Linked DNA regions of Coturnix japonica. The protein of the gene in region 2 binds, or shares a complex with, the protein of the main gene of each other region. Links are inferred from orthologs where the notes say so. Each region holds a gene or a part of one and is shown on either strand. Other genes may lie near its edges.

Region 1 (3,652 bases), on a different chromosome or scaffold from region 2:
GACTACTATACACCCTAGAACTGTCTATATATAAAGAAAGTCAAGCTGCCATGAGAACAGTGAGAATCTAAAAGAGTGCAACAGCCTAAGGCTCCTTATTCCGCAACTTAAGAAATGTAGCACAGTAGCAAATCTCTGCTGTTATTGTGGTTATCTATAAAATTATTTTTCAAGTAGCTTGAGAATCCATCAGTGTAAAGCTGGGACCATAATAAAACACCCAGGGAAATAAAATTTAATAGTAAAGGGCGTAAATGAACATTTTATTTCTAAGCTTCACTTCGCTGCTGATTTTACTTTTAATTCATAATACCTGAGAACTTCAGTAAAACAAAAATCTAATGCCTATAAAGCAATTAAGAAACACTTCTTTTTTTCCCTCTCCCCTCCTGTGTGAATACAATTTTTTTATTTTTTTTTTTTTTTTCTATAGGAAATCTTTATATCCTCCCAGAAAGGAGAGACAACAGTTCTACTTTCCAGCAAAAACAGTTGCAGCTACTCTTCTGATAAGGGCATTTTGAGCTTGGTTAAGTTTTCTGTTTCAATATTTGGCTAACAGATCTCTTGCGAAAATTTTCAAGTCATGGTCTACATGAAAGCACTGTGTGTTTAAAATAAATTTCACAGCGAGTATTGTAATGTTTCTACTCCTTCCACATATAGCAGCACAGCATTTTATCTGGCTTATTTAGTTTGTATTACATAATGAGTGGCATGAGAGTGCTAGAATATGAATGTACAAATTAACACCAAAAAAAGAGGAAGAAAGAAAATTTACCAGATATGCCAAGGCTTGTCTTTGATGTTTTCTAATGATAATAACTGAGATACTTTCACAGATGATATTGCATCCCTGAGGTCCATCTTGTTAGCAAAGAAAAGAATAGGCATTCGACGGTGCTTAATATCTAGGAGTGAGTAGAAGCAGAACTACTATGATAATATGCAACACTATCTCTGCAAGCATGAAACTGCAAATAATAAAAGATACTTTGCTCACCTGTAAATGCAACTCTTTGAAGATTGTATCCTACCAAGATGCTTGCTGTTGCATCACTTGGCCTCTGATGCATGCTTCAAGAATGCCCACAAACTTTCTGGGAAGCTTTGGGATCTTCCACCCACCTGTCCCCCTACCTTATATAAAGCTGTATCTATAATTTGCTGGTGAAGAAGAGCAGGATTTCAAACAGCTCCCTAAAAATACTACACATCTCTGCTTAGTGAAGACTGGATATGTAAAACGGATGTTTAAAAAATGATTCGCATTCATTCATATCATCCCAAAAGCAGAATCATACAATTAGTCTGTGTTATCTTATAACATCTTGGAGAGCATCCTTGGCTTTCTTCAAAAAAACCATGAAGCAGGAAAAAATATGCATGTCCAGACACCTCTTGTCCTACTTTCACTTGAACTAAGGCTTCACTTCCAGAAGCTTGCCTCAGTCAGCAATGGGAACCACAGAGCAAACCAATGACCTTGGTACAATGCCAATCTCTAGCATACTCGTGCATGCAAAAGCATAAGCCTCTCTGATTACCACAAAAGGTAAAAGAGCCATCACAAGGAAATGAAGTATACATATGTCAGGTTAAAGAGAACAAAATAGAAAATAAATAAATAAATAAATAAATTACTTCTATCATTGCTAAGAATTTTTCACATTATTAATAAATAAATCAACCAAGGATTATCAATCCAGCAGGGTTATCAAAAATGCAGAGTTAAGTCAATGAATTCTTGATAGGAAAAGATCTTTAAAAAAAAAAAACAAAAAAACAACACTATTTCTTAGAACAGTATAAGGAAAAGGATGCTTCACACAGGAAACAAGTGAAGGATTTATTTGGAGCTTTAAACGTAAGTGAGCTGACCTCGTGAGGGAAGATGGCAGACACCTACCCCCATTCCCTAGGTATCTGCTAAATAAACTGATAGCCACAGGTATTTACATTTTTCCTACCTTATTACATTATTTCCAACTATGCCATGTTCTCGCCTCCTTCCTCTCCTCCAACTTTTGCTATTAATGGAAAGCTAACATTTTCTTGTTGCAAACAGTTATGAGCTAACACATTAAGAAAACTCAAACACCACAGATGTGTGATGGGCAACTTTGAAATAACATGAAATTTCTATACATTCAATATTCTTTATAAAGAAGCATGTGTTGGAGGGCAAGTGACCCAAGAGTCAACATCTAAACAGGTAATCTAAAGACTGCGATTATGCAAAATGGTCAAATTTGATAAACAAAATAATGCAACAATGGTCATTAAACAAGATGTTATGTGTTTGTGGACAGTACCCTCTACAACTAAAAAAGAAATGGCTCTTATCCTTGAAACAGTCCCAGGTAGTACAACTTCTAACATCGTTAACACTTCACATTACACATTCCCTTTCACTTGACCACTTCAGACTAAACCAGGCAAAAAGAGATGGAACTTCCTACTACACTAAAGGACTGCCTAAAATTTTCAGGGATTGGAATCTACACAAGGTTGTTAACCAGTATGCATTTAAACCTTAAAAAAAAAAAAAAAAAAAAAAAAAAAAAAAAAAAAGTACATTTATTTGAACCAAGGTTTGCAGAGGCTGAAGCAAAGAAGAGCAATAAGTAAGGTATGCAGAGGAAGAATAGAACAAATGGCTTTAAACTGGAAGAGGGTAGATTTAGACTATATATTAGGAAGATCTTTACCGTGAGGGTGGTGAGACACTGGAACAGGTTGCCCAGAGAAGTTGCAAATGCCCCCTCCCTGGAAGCATCCAGGCTGGATGTGGCTTTGAGCAACCTGGTCTAGTGGGAGGCATCCCTACCCACGGTAGGGGGAGTGAAATGAGATCATCTTAAAGGCCCCTTCCAACACTTCCATTCTATGATTACTGTAGTAAAACAGCTGTAGGTTGATTCAGTTAAAAAACACTTTTACCGAACATTACATGCTTTGCTTCTCTGAAGGTCTATTAAAATCCAAAACAATAAAACAAGAACACTGCTACTGCACTTGACCTAAGCTGCTCCAAGGCAAAAAACACTGAACCATCTGTTCTAGGTTCCAGGGAATATTCTAGGTAGCCACAGCCATGACCTTTCAAAACTAGAAGACACGAAATTTATCAAAAACTGAACAGTTCTGACATGTGAGATCAGTGTTAGAAACCTGCTAATTCATAAACAAAACACCTAAGCTTGCATCTCCCCAGCCTTAATATTTTCACAACACACTATAGTAGTCTTGACCTCTCATCCTTAGTTTTGCATGGTTTCCATTTTATCTACAGAATCACCTTTTTACCAATGTGGTTAATACCTGCTTTGTTACAAAATTCCTTAATCCATAGGTAATCCACCTTCAGCCCTTGGTTCACCTCTACCCTCCCCCTGAACTCTGCAAGGCTGCCATTTCTGTGCATGCATTTGAAGTAACCCATACTGCTGAATGTGAAACAAATTGAGCTCAGACAGTTCACACACAGTTAGCTACCACATCTTTGCTGATCCATTCATGTATCAGATGCAGTCTGCGTGGAAAAAAACTGTAACAATACAATTGTTCCTACCACATATCACTATCCCTGGTTAGAAATACAGAAGCCAGCTTCTCCTTTCTTAGTGTCAGCAAAGTAAATCCACAAGTT
Region 2 (3,652 bases):
GGTAGTAACAGAAATCACAAATATGAAATTTCTGTTTTCATGCAGAAAATCTGTTACTGAGACATAGTTGCAGCATGAAGTAAGAGTGAAAGGCTGGTAGGATTTCAGGTGAAAGCTGGGGAGAAGGAACCATGGGAGTTTAGGTTGGGATGCTGGTAAGATTGCTGTGGAGATTTCAGAGTAGGGATTATTAGCTTCGTTTTTAAACTCCTTTGGATTTTTGTTTGTCTGCATATTGAGGTGTTATTTGTAAACATACAATACATACACGTATAATAGATAATAGTCTCGTGCGGGTTGAAAGGGACCTTAGAGATCATTGAGTCTAACACCTGGGATTTGAGCCTCTGTGTAGCAGAGCAGCACTTCTACCACTTGTGCCACAGGGGGGATTCGAACCCGGGCCCCGGTGTTGCAACGTGGCACTTCTACCACTGCGCCACCAGGGCACACATATGTGCTTGACTGTTTTAGTTCTAAACAATATTTACGTTGCATGAAAGCCTCTTACAGTGGTGGTGAGTTGTAAGGTGATCTTGTTGTGTAAATGGGAGCTGGACTGTTGGGGGTGTCTCGTTCAGGCACTGGGTTGGGTTTCTCTTACATCTGGATTTCTGTAAGTAGAATCACTGCTTCCTTCCATCCATAGATTGATGAGAATTGTGTAGAGCTCACATAAACTAAGGCTGTGAAAGGATCAATCTTAAAATAGTTTGATCTTCCTTTTCGCTAATCTCTTCTACCCTGATACAAATCCCTTTAGTGTGTTAATCTGGTGCTTAATTTAGTTTCTGTTAGATTATTTGTCAGTGTTCAGGTCTAGATTCAAGAAACAGTTCTTACTTGCTTTAGGTGCAGTACAACACTCACAATTAGATGTGTGTTCTGAATAAATAATATAAATGGTTTCTTCTGTAAAGCACATTAAATAGCCCATATTTCCTAAATTCAGGAAAAGTTTGTAAGCAGAACTCCAGAGCGAGGAAGCATTTGTTTTAAAGTGTGTCCTATTACGTGACCTCATTGCAGCCTTTCAATACCTGAAGGGAACTTACTCCCAGGAGGGGAGTAAACTCTTTGAAAGGGCTGACAATAGCAGGACACAGGGAAATGGTTTTAAGTTGAAAGAGGGAAGATTTAGGTTGGATGTTAGGGGGAAGTTCTTCACTAGGAGAGTGGTTAGGCCCTGGAACAGGCTGCCCAGGGAGGCTGTGGATGCCCCGTCCTTGGAGGTGTTCAAGACCAGGTTGGACGGGGCCCTGGACAACCTGATCTAGTAAATGTGTATGTTTGGTGGCCCTGCCAGGCAGGGGGGTTGGAACTACATGATCCTTGAGGTCCCTTCCAACCCGGGTCATTCTGTGATTCTGTGTGTGATTCTGTGACACTAATGGTAGGATTTCCTTTTTCCCCTGATGGGATGAATATTTTCAAACCTTTTCAATAGGTGCGTTTTTATGATTCTAAACTTTTGATTTGTTTTTATTTTTTAATTTTTTGTAGGTGATTCTGGAGAAGAAATTGTGTATGGAACTTCTGATGGTAAACTGGGGCTTATCCAGATTACTGGTTCTGCTTCTGTACCTAAGTGGGAAATTGAAAATGAAAAAAGGAGAGGAGGTTTGTGTCTCAGCATCTCCCTCTTTAGTTTTTAAGCACAGCTGAGGCTTTGTTACAATATAATCATCAAGAAATACGTTTCATAGATATTTAGGAGATGTATTTTAATATTGTCAATATGTGATATTAATGTGTTAATTATCTTCCATTCTTACAAGTAATTCTTGTCTGTTTGCCAAGTATCTTGTTTCCTGTACTTTAGTATGTTTTCATACTTACAGTACAATGTTAAAGTGCCATTTGTAAAACAGTTTCGTTGTGCATGATCACTTGGGATTTTTATCATGTTGGTGACTTTTAAAATGTAAATATACGTGCTAGATTTTTTCAGATATGCAGTGACCTGAAAGTCCCCTCAGATTAAAGACTGGCATCTTCACTGCAAGACAAAAATAACAACAACAACAACAAAAGCAGGGCAAGGATTTTTTTCTAAAGATGGAATAATGCTCTCCTTAAGGCTCCATAATATGGTGTAACTTGTTTGGGCATAGTACAATACTTTTCCCTGTTATAGCCTTGGTATGCTGTTTCTGCAGCGTGTTAGTACTTATTTTTGTGTAAAGGAGAAGAATAGTGATATATGTGGTTTTTTTTCTAAGCTTTCACGAGGTAATTAGATCTATTACTTAACTCTTCAGTTAAAAATCTTCTTGGTATGGCTAAACTTCGAATATGAAATATGAATGGGTTCTTTTGCTTCCTTCTTCCACACCGTAACTCTGTGTCCATTCTAGCCATGGTTAGCTGTTACAATACATCTTAGCATGTTGTGTAGCAGCACAAACCTAACACGGGTCTGGTGCAAATCAGGACCCTGTGTCTGCCCCATCAGCTGGAATTCACAGCAGTCCATTTGGCTTTCTGTCGGCTATAGGAGACAAAATGTGCTCGCTTCTTCAGCTGGTAGAGCTGATCAGACAAACAGCGTGGGAAAAAAATGTGGACGTTAGTCACAGAGAAGAGACTTCAGCCCTCTAGTGGACTCTTCCAGAAATAGCATCAATAAAAAAAGCCCAGCAAGAATCTCTTTCTATGTAATTTAATGTGGCCTTCATATTAATGCGTTGTAAACAACCAAAGATGAAGCAGACAGTTTTTTTTCTTTTTCATTAGGTATCTTATGCATTGATAGTTTTGACATTCTGAGAGATGGAGTTAAAGAGTTACTTGTTGGGCGAGATGATGGAGTGCTGGAAGTCTATAGCTTTGAGAGTGCAGATGATCCTGTCCTTCGGTATGATTATGTAAGCTCACATCCAGTGTCTTCTTTCTTGCTGGAAAGATGAATTTAAAAACTCTGTACTTCAAAATATCAAGTATTCACAAGATTGGTTAGAGCTAAAATATATTTGTTGTTTTTAGTTTTCTATGCTCTATAATGCTGACAACACAAACGTCAAAGTGGTATCTATGTACTTAAGAACCAGTTATTGCAGTGGTCTTGATTAGAGCAAAAAATAGTGCAGAGAGCTATTAGGCTTCTCCTGGGTGAAACCTAATACTGTGCTTCTCAGCAAAAAGAAAGCAAGACAAAAAACCTACCTCCACATTGTGTGCGGTTTGTTTTGCATGTAAAATATTAAGTGTAGCTGTTATGACTTTAACAACTCACAGGCCAAGTAATTCTGCTCAGTAAAGATGTGGATTTGATCCATAGAGTTAATTTCATCCTTCAGACAGACTGTAAATCTTGCTGGAAAAGTGTTTTCCTTTAATGTTTTCCTTTAAACCACTTTCTACTGTCTGTATTAAGCAGAGTTAATTCAGAATGCATTGTTTAAAGCATCTTGCTTTAGCTGTGGTAATCAGCTAGCTCACTCTTGTGGATCTAGATATTTTGAATCCATGTTGATATTTTGTGATGTAGGTAAAACTCCCCCCCAAAAACAAACAAACAAAAAAACCCACCAGGTATTTAAAACAAGCGCAGTAATATTTCCCTCTGCTTGAATGTATTTATTTGAAGGTTTTATCAGAGAGCATTTCATCAATCCAAGGTGGCTGTGTAGGAAAAGATGGTTATGATGAA

The links.
Region 1: the proteins of BBS7 (region 2) and ARL6 are in contact, whole or in part, in a cryo-EM structure (PDB 6VBV), measured with the Bos taurus proteins. The link is inferred for Coturnix japonica from reciprocal best matches to the Homo sapiens genes BBS7 and ARL6. Residues at the interface, in NP_001178275.2 of Bos taurus: Leu3, Ile249, Val250, Gly251, Asp300, Gly301, Tyr302, Asp303, Thr319, Glu320, Pro321, His323, Lys324, Glu325, Ser326, Gly327, Pro328; in NP_001069250.1 of Bos taurus: Met132, Asp133, Arg135, Thr139, Ser140, Val141, Ser144, Trp157, His158, Ile159, Cys160, Ala161, Asp163, Lys166.

Annotation. Positions count from the first base shown.
Region 1 is NC_029516.1:81,828,546-81,832,197, reverse strand, and holds part of ARL6 (ADP-ribosylation factor-like protein 6), read right to left. Parts: intron 912-3,652; coding exon 782-911; intron 777-781; exon of another isoform or gene 434-776; intron 1-433. UniProt on the Homo sapiens protein: Involved in membrane protein trafficking at the base of the ciliary organelle. Mediates recruitment onto plasma membrane of the BBSome complex which would constitute a coat complex required for sorting of specific membrane proteins to the primary cilia.
Region 2 is NC_029519.1:48,260,891-48,264,542, forward strand, and holds part of BBS7 (Bardet-Biedl syndrome 7 protein), read left to right. Parts: intron 1-1,503; coding exon 1,504-1,620; intron 1,621-2,736; coding exon 2,737-2,867; intron 2,868-3,589; coding exon 3,590-3,652.